2 linked regions of the Neurospora crassa OR74A genome follow. The protein of the gene in region 1 interacts with the protein of each later gene in a pairwise test. Links are inferred from orthologs where the notes say so. Each region holds a gene or a part of one and is shown on either strand. Other genes may lie near its edges.

Region 1 (4,324 bases):
CTATCCACTGGATGGGAGCAGCAGAGAGTGGAGGGGATGAGTTGGCGAAGACTTTTATGGCGCAGCAAATGCGTTGATGTTTTGACTCCGGGGACGGAGTAAGTCGAGAGGCATGGGCTTCAACGCCTTGGGCCGCATAGCTAACGTGGTTCGTGTGAGTGTGTGTATGCGTGTGCTTGTTGGACAACGGCTGGTCACTTCTGGAAAGTTTCGTCCGGCTTGCTGTAGTTGTTGCTTTTCTCTGTCCTCCTGGGTTGATCATTTGAAATCTCTTTGCCGCTACTGCTTTTGGAGGCTCCCTTTTTGTTTTGCTTATACCATCGCCGATATGCCAGGCAGGTCTTACATACCACCATGTACACTCACCACAGTCATGTTTTCTCTCTTCTTTTCTGGATGAAGGTCAGCGTTCAACACTTTTTTTTTTTTTTTTTTTTTTTTTTTTTTGGAAATGCTGCTGCGCAGCCTCGGGTCGGATTTTCTGTTTTTCTTGTCAGCTTGAATACCCCTTTTTGCGTATACCATTCCCCATCATCATCCTTTGTCTTTATTGGTCATGTCGTGTCACGTCATGTCATACAGTGTCTCTTGTACAGGTTTTCTTTACATTGGGTGGTTATCTGCTGTTTTGTCCCTGTTTATCCGGCCGCTTGAGTGCCTACCATGTTATGTACCAGGAGGGAGGGAACGCAGCCAACAATGGCAACTGTCTAAGAGGCGCACGCACACACACGCGGGCAGACTTGCGGGGAATATGTGTAGATTATGATGTATGAGCTATGAAGCAGTAAGATGGGAGGAAGGGGGTGTCACTTCCGGGGAGTGCAGAGGGGAATTGGAGGTAATGGAAGGGAACGAATAAAATATAAAAGACCACTCCCGTTCATCCTTGTGTCGAGATGTGTGATTATATCGAGCTAAGTGACCGGGGCTATTGATACTGCACAACTCGAATACCGCTGTTGGATATGTCCCTCAGACTTGATTTGATGGCAGGGACGAAAGTCATCTGGATTCTCTTTGAAATGTGCCTTACCACAAAACAAAACCTACTGATTGGCTTACGGGATCTGAAATAAAGATGAAGGTGAGTGTCAACAAGAGGAAGAGGAAGATGGGATGATGGAGAGATGGGACGAAGAGAGGGTTAGGGTTTATGCGTTGGTGTATCTGTAACAATTCTGGCGGGGGTGGTGGGGTTGACCCAATCGCTCCCGAAACAAGCAGGCGGCGGCAAATGGCAGAAGCGTTGCCGCCGTGGATTTTGAGTCATCCATTGCCGGGAACGGGGGACCCGACTGGGGGCGCGCGGTCCGGCCGCTACTGAGTCGAATCGGGCGCCGCCGTTGCAGTAAGTACATAGCCCCAGGTGTCTCGGAAAAGTTCCAAGTGGATTGATTGATCAGAGGAGTTCCCCGTCCTCCGTCTCCGTCTCCGTCTCCGTCTCCGTCTTGCGCCAGTCCTCTTCCAAGACTCGACCGCCGACGACTCCCCCAATCAGCCCAACATGCCTACCATTAACGTTGACAAGTATCGCCTCTTTGAGGAGCTTGGCGAGCAGTAAGTTTCCCTGTGGTGGTCTTTTTTGAATTATCACGGTTACCCCGCCATGGTGTTTTGACTACTTCTATGGACGGACACAAATCACTTACACGCTTTGCGCCAACCACCACAGGTTCACTCCCGACACCTTCCAACAGCTCTGCTTCGAGTTCGGTATCGAGCTCGACAAGGACACCGAGGAGGATGAGACGCGCCCCAAGGACCAGGCCCCCGAGCTGGCCATCGAGATTCCCGCCAACCGCTACGACATGCTCTGCTTCGAGGGCATCGCCATGTACCTGAACATCTTCCGCGGCAAGCAGACCACCCCCAACTTCAAGTTGCTCGACATCCCCGAGGACAAGATGCAGAAGATCACCGTCAGCCCCGAGACCGAAAAGGTCCGCCCCTACGTCGCCGGCGCCATCCTGCGCAACCTCAAGTTCACCCCGGAGAGATACGAGTCCTTCATCGGCCTGCAAGACAAGCTTCACCAGAACCTGGCCAGGCAAAGAACCCTCGTCTCTATCGGCACCCACGATCTCGACACCATCCAGGGCCCCTTCACCTACGAGGCCCTCGCCCCCAAGGACATCAACTTTGTCCCCCTCAACCAGACCAAGAAGATGAACGGCCAAGAGCTGATGGAGTTCTACGAGTCCGACAAGCACCTCGGCCGCTACCTGCACATCATCCGCGACAAGCCCGTCTACCCCGTCATCTTCGACGCCAACAAGACCGTCTGCTCGCTGCCGCCCATCATCAACAGCGACCACTCCAAGATCACGCTCGACACCAAGAACGTCTTCATCGAGATCACCGCCACCGACCAGACCAAGCTCGACATTGTCTGCAACATCATGGTCGCCATGTTCTCCAAGTACTGCGACGAGCCCTTCACCATCGAGCCCGTCAAGATCGTGTCCGAGCACAACGGCACCACCCGCGTCACCCCCAGCCTGCACACCCGTGTCATGGACGTCGAGGTCGATTACCTCAACCAGTGCTGCGGCCTTCAAGAGTCGCCCGAGTCGCTGTGCAAGCTGCTCGGCAAGATGGCGTACACTGCTGTCCCCGATAAGGAGGACGCCAAGCTCATCAAGGTTTCTGTGCCTCCTACCCGTGCCGATGTGTTGCACGCCTGCGATGTGGTATGTACACCCCCAAATTACTTCCTTGAAATTTGTTACAGTACCTAACTCGTTTGTTACAGATGGAAGACGTCGCCATCGCTTACGGCTACAACAACCTCCCCCGCACCTCCCCCAACCAGGCCTCCACCATCGGCAAGCCGCTCATGATCAACAAGGTGTCCGACATTGTGCGCAACGAATGCGCCATGGCCGGCTGGATCGAAGTCATGCCCTTGATCCTCTGCTCGCACGAGGAGAACTTTGAGTGGCTCAATCGTGTTGACGACGGCCAGACCGCCGTCAAGCTCGCCAACCCCAAGTCGGTCGAATACCAAGTCGTGCGCACCTCCCTTTTGCCTGGTCTGCTGAAGACCCTGCGCGAGAACAAGTCGGTACGTTTGCCGCTCAAGATCACCGAGGTGGCCGATATCGCCTTGAAGGACGAGACCAAGGAGCGCAAGGCGCGCAACGAACGTCACTTCGCCGCGGCTTTCTACGGCAAGACTTCGGGTTTCGAAGTGGTCCACGGCCTGCTGGACAGGATCCTGTCCATGCTGCGCGTCAGCTTCGTCACGCATGAGGAGGACCTCCATGGCAAGAGCATCGACTACAAGGTTGCGGAAAACCCGAGCGAGGAGAAGGGCAACGGGTATTTCATCAAGGAGATTGACGAGCCCACCTTCTTCCAGGGGAGGGCGGCGGCCATCTATCTGCGCTTGGGAGGCGAGACCAGGAGGATTGGCGAGTTTGGTGTGCTGCATCCGACTGTGCTGGAGAAGTTTGACTTGAGATACCCGGTTAGTGTGTTGGAGGTTAATCTGGAGGTTTTCCTTTGAGTGAGTGAAAGGAGGGGGAAACGAAAGGGTTGATCTACGAGGATGATGATGACAAGAAAAAAAGAGTGAAAAAGGTTACATGTACTTGTGGAGAATAGAGAAGATTTTCAGCTGTTTGTTTGTTCAGATCCGCCCTCTCCGTTAAGTTTTCCTCTGTATCGTTGTGTCGGCCAACATCCATACGATGGACAAAGTTCTTGGGTAAGTTCAGCCCCCCTGTGATGGATGATGTATCTGGACCACGTCCCGTGTTCTACCCGGGGGGAGTCATCGATGTACACTTAACATAGAGATAGGTAGGTATTCCAGGGCGAATAACTTCCCGTCGTCTTGTCTTCAGGACGTCTTGCCAAGCGGCAGATAGATAGACTTCCAACCCACCATCATCGACAACTCGACCCTCTTTCATTCTCCTTGTTCAATATTAATGGACTCTACACTTAAGTCTTCCTGGCCATGCTCATTTAACTTTTCGACGGGACCGTAAACCACCACGGCCGTGGCACCGGTCCCTAAGGATCTTCTCGTTGCCTGAGGCCATCCAAGATCTATCGCTTTCGCACTCCTCCAGCCTGGGTTGGCATTTCGTTCGGCAACAATGTTTGGCCTGTCTTACTTTTGAGCTGACTGCATGGTCTCCGCGGCTCAAGCGTGATGGCTGCGAGATCTTGTCTCCCAGATCTTGTCTCCCGCGCTTACTTCCAAAGCTTATGATGTCCTCTACTGATGCCATCACTCATCAAAGTCCAGTTCTGTATGACCGTGGTAGAGCAAGGGACCTGGAATCACAGCACGGGATGGCATGAGCGTATC
Region 2 (4,320 bases), on another chromosome or scaffold:
TCCATTATCTCCTGCTTCTGTCGCAGATATCGGAAGTTTTGGGGGATCGCCGAAATGTGATGTAGGACAGGCCGGCAGTTGAAAAAGCGACTGATCCTCAGGGCCTGGTTGGTCGCGTCAAAGCCACCATCTATGGCATGCCAGGTGACAGTAAATGGCGATCGTGTTGGTTTAGCCGCGGCCAATTAACATTGTCAAAGTTTTGGCATATGGGGGCAAGTTGGTGAGGAGAATGTTGAAGAGTCGAGAATAAGGACGTGGGAAATGCTTGACTGGCATCTTAGTTGAAGAAAGGAAGAATGGATGGCCAGTCCAGGTTTAAATACTACGTCGAGGGAACTTCAAGGCGGGAGGCTCCTGTCAGACATCAATATCCAATAATCATCACCATGCTCACTCAGGCTGGGGAAGAAGGCCATCGACAGGGAACGAAGAACGGAAAGTCAGTCCTTGATATTCGTGTCAGTGGGAATAGCATCGCTTGACGCTTGGACCAAGCGGCAATCCTGACAGTGACCTGAAGCCATTAATTGGTGGAGTTTCATTATATGAAAAAAAAAAAAAAAAAAAAAAAAAAAAAAAAAAAAAGAAAAAAAATCCACGATATGAATGACAGCGGTCACAACGTTGACATAGAAAGAAAAAAAATGCAAAAAGAAAGGCGTGTTTGAACGCCGGGAATTGAGCCCGACGTGGGGGTCGAACCCACAACCTTGAGATTAAGAGTCTCACGCTCTACCGATTGAGCTAGCCGGGCAGCCAAAGCTGCCGTTTGTTGAAAGGACTGCACGGAACTGGCGCTCAAGAGCCCAGCCGACATGCGTTGCGCTGGCCAACAACCAAGACAACACAGCGCGCTGATTGGAGATACATCCGTCAAGCTGTCGCCTCTTGTACCAACATTTGGAATGAACGAATTTCCCGTTGATATGCTGATTGAGGAATGCGCAATGATGGGCGCAAAAGATGAGCGGCAAGCAGACGGGGATGGTGGCACTGCACCAACATGACCAGTCCGGGGTCAGAGCTCCAGAACTGCCGGGTAACCAACTACCGGGTAGGCCAAACGGGACGAGATCAGAGGAACAATACAATATGGGCGTTGAAGAGAAAAAGATGAAAGATAATAATTGATGATGGATCGACAATGAGCCAGTCAATTGGACATTGTTGAAGCCTCGCATCAGTCCTTCATTCAGAACGGCAGTGCTGGCGGTGAGATGCAATGGTGAAGCTGCGGGGAGACGGGAGACGGGAAACGGGAGACAATGACATGCCTTGTTCAACGAGACACCTCAGGGAGATGGCGCGGGGTCAAGACCACCACCACGGGTTAGGGTTGTGTATGGCTAACTCTGCGGCCTCCAAGATTTTCCGCCGGCTGTCATTGGCCAACCAAGCACACGGGCACTCACGGATTGATGGGGCCCACATGTCCGATTCGCGGGGCCGGCCCGCGTCTGGAATTTGGGAAATTGTGAGTCAAAGCCCCACCATGCCTGTGCCAGACGGAGACTCCAGTACGGCGCCGCACACCCCCGGAGTTTGACCACTGAACCGTCAGCTCCAAGCCCCCCCAAGATCCGCTTGCCGCTCCGATCGAGTCCGTTGCTTCAGTTTTGATCCCATACACACACACACACACAACCACACATAATGGCGCCCCCAACAAACACCACCGCGTCCTCCGAGGACCTCGCGACCGACATCCTCGCTGCCCTCGACAAGTCGCAGCCCCTCCTCTCCAGCGATGCCTTCCCCAACGCCACCTTCGTCGACCTCAAGGCCGCCCTCGACAGGCTGGCGTCGCGCGAGATGGTAAAATACGACACCATCGAGCGCCAGGAAGCCCTCCTCGAACCCGAAGCCGAACAGATCGCCGCCAATGGCTCCCACGAGGCCCGCGTCTTCGAGGCCCTGCGCAAGGCTGTCGAGGGCCTGTCCGTCAAGGAGCTGGAGGAGGCCATCGGCGACAAGAACGTGGTCAAGATCGGCCAGGGCAAGGCCTTCAAGGAGAAGTGGATCAGCAAGACCAAGGACGGCAAGTTCACGGCCGTCGCCGACAAGATCAACGACACCACCCAGGAGCAGATCAAGACGGTCCAGCAGACCAAGACACACCCCGACCCCAAGATCCTCGCCGACCTCAAGAAGCGCAAGCTCATCCGCACCCAAAACATCTTCTCCTTCAAGATCCACAAGGGCCCCAAGTTCGCCCTCAGGATCCCCGAGGAGGCCACCGACCTGACCGCCGACATGATCGCCTCGGGCGCCTGGAAGACGGCCACCTTCAAGCCCTACAACTTCAAGGCCCTCGGCGCCACCCAGAACGGCGGCGCCCTGCACCCGCTCAACAAGGTGCGCCAGGAGCTGCGCAACATCTTCTTCGAGATGGGCTTCGAGGAGATGCCCACCGACAAGTTCGTCGAGTCCGGCTTCTGGAACTTCGACGCCCTCTTCGTGCCCCAGCAGCACCCCGCCCGCGATCTCCAAGACACCTTCTACATCTCCGACCCCAAGGCCGCCGACTTCCCGCGCGCCGACTCGCCCGACGACACAAAAGACTACCAGGCCTACTGGGACAACGTCAAGGCCGTGCATCAGGACGGCAAGTACGGCTCCATCGGCTACCGCTACCCCTGGTCCGGCGACGAGTCGCTCCGCCTCGTCCTGCGCACACACACCACCGCCATCAGCGCAAACATGCTGCACAAGCTGGCCGCCACCAAGGGCCCCGACGGCAGGCCTCTCCCGGCCCGCTACTTCTCCATCGATCGTGTCTTCCGTAACGAGACCGTCGATGCCACACATTTGGCCGAGTTCCACCAGGTCGAGGGTGTCATTGCCGACTATGGCCTGACCCTCGGTGGTCTGATGGAGTTCATGGAGATCTTCTTCGGCAAGATGGGTCTGCATGATTTGCAGTTCAAGCCCGCTTACAACCCTTATACCGAGCCTTCAATGGAGATTTTCGCTTACCGTGAGTGCCGCCATGTCGCCGTCGTTGAAGAAACCGAAACGCTGACAAACATACACAAAAACAGACAAGGGCCTCGGCAAGCTCGTCGAGATTGGAAACAGCGGCATGTTCCGCGCCGAAATGCTGGAGTCTATGGGTCTTCCGTACGTTTATCTCCCCTTCTCTCGTTCCTCTCACTTTCCATATCCTCGCAAGCTCATACTAACACCCCCCACAGCAAGGACATGCGCGTCTTCGGCTGGGGTCTCTCCCTCGAGCGCCCCACCATGATCAAGTACGGCATCTCCAACATTCGCGAGCTGCTGGGTCACAAGGTGGATTTGGAGTTTGTCCAGGGTAGCCCGGCTGTTTTGCTTGGCCAGGAGTAGTAGATGTGGTCCAAGACGAAAACGAAAACAAAAAAAAAGTAATGAATGAAAGAAAGCGTACCTACTAGACGATGATACCGAATATAAAATGGAGTTTGATGTTCAGGGTTGGGATCTTTGGGTTCGCGGGGAGTAAGGAGAAGTGATGTCGTTGTTAATGTTGTGGCCTTGATGATGTAGCCGGGTAAACTATGGAGTTTGCAGTTTGCACTAGGAGTCTGGTATTTGACCCGTTGGGGCACTTGGGACACGCAGAAGGTGATGGAGGTCCCAACTCTGACTTCTGAGCAACACCAAAGACAACACCAAAGTCAATTACCGAATTGCATTGACAGCCATCGAACGAGCCCATCTCCATCCCTCTTAATCCCATCTCATTCGGTTAGTTCCCCTCGCAAAACCCCCCTTCCTTCCCCTTCTCCCCAGAGCCTCAAAACTCCTAGCAACCTGTCTCGCCTCTAAAAAAAAGAAGGGGACACTTTTCCGGGTATTACATGTGCTATGTATCAGCGCAACTCAATGAACCAGCTTTTGTACCCTCGGCGAGCCTGGCTCTACCAGTACACTACAACAGCCTTTCTCAGCTTCACCTCGCCCCACCAGCTTTTCAAGGACTCAATCAAACAACCGAAGTCTCGACGTCACGTTCTAGACCTACCACCTTATACACTACTGTTACTATGTGTCTACCTATCTATCTATCCATCTACTGCTAGATCCAAGTTCAACAAGTCTGTTGCAATCCAATCCCAATTCCAATCCCACGCCGAGCCCGAATCAGCAGGACCGGACCGGACCGGACCGGCTCGGTTCAGCTTGGTTCGGTTTGGTTTCGTTCCCTCCTGGGCTCAACTTGTAAGCACCTCAAAGCAGGTTGCAAATGGTCAAAGTAAACAAACACCCCTATTTTGCGCATGAAGATGGCATAAGTTTTTACATCCTCAATGCCTACTAGCTACTGAGTCTTTGTGT

The links.
Region 2: the proteins of NCU08888 (region 1) and NCU05095 interact in binary tests that used the Saccharomyces cerevisiae proteins (3 or more experiments, as listed by UniProt). The link is inferred for Neurospora crassa OR74A from reciprocal best matches to the Saccharomyces cerevisiae genes FRS1 and FRS2.

Annotation. Positions count from the first base shown.
Region 1 is NC_026505.1:759,819-764,142, forward strand, and holds NCU08888 (phenylalanyl-tRNA synthetase subunit beta), read left to right. Parts: upstream 1-1,237; 5' UTR 1,238-1,507; coding exon 1,508-1,560; intron 1,561-1,675; coding exon 1,676-2,693; intron 2,694-2,755; coding exon 2,756-3,511; 3' UTR 3,512-3,681; downstream 3,682-4,324. Other genes in the region: NCU08889 (hypothetical protein), read left to right, coding at 1-77; NCU08887 (hypothetical protein), read left to right, coding at 4,225-4,265.
Region 2 is NC_026506.1:3,754,025-3,758,344, reverse strand, and holds NCU05095 (phenylalanyl-tRNA synthetase subunit alpha), read left to right. Parts: upstream 1-1,483; 5' UTR 1,484-1,656; coding exon 1,657-2,980; intron 2,981-3,044; coding exon 3,045-3,123; intron 3,124-3,197; coding exon 3,198-3,348; 3' UTR 3,349-3,739; downstream 3,740-4,320.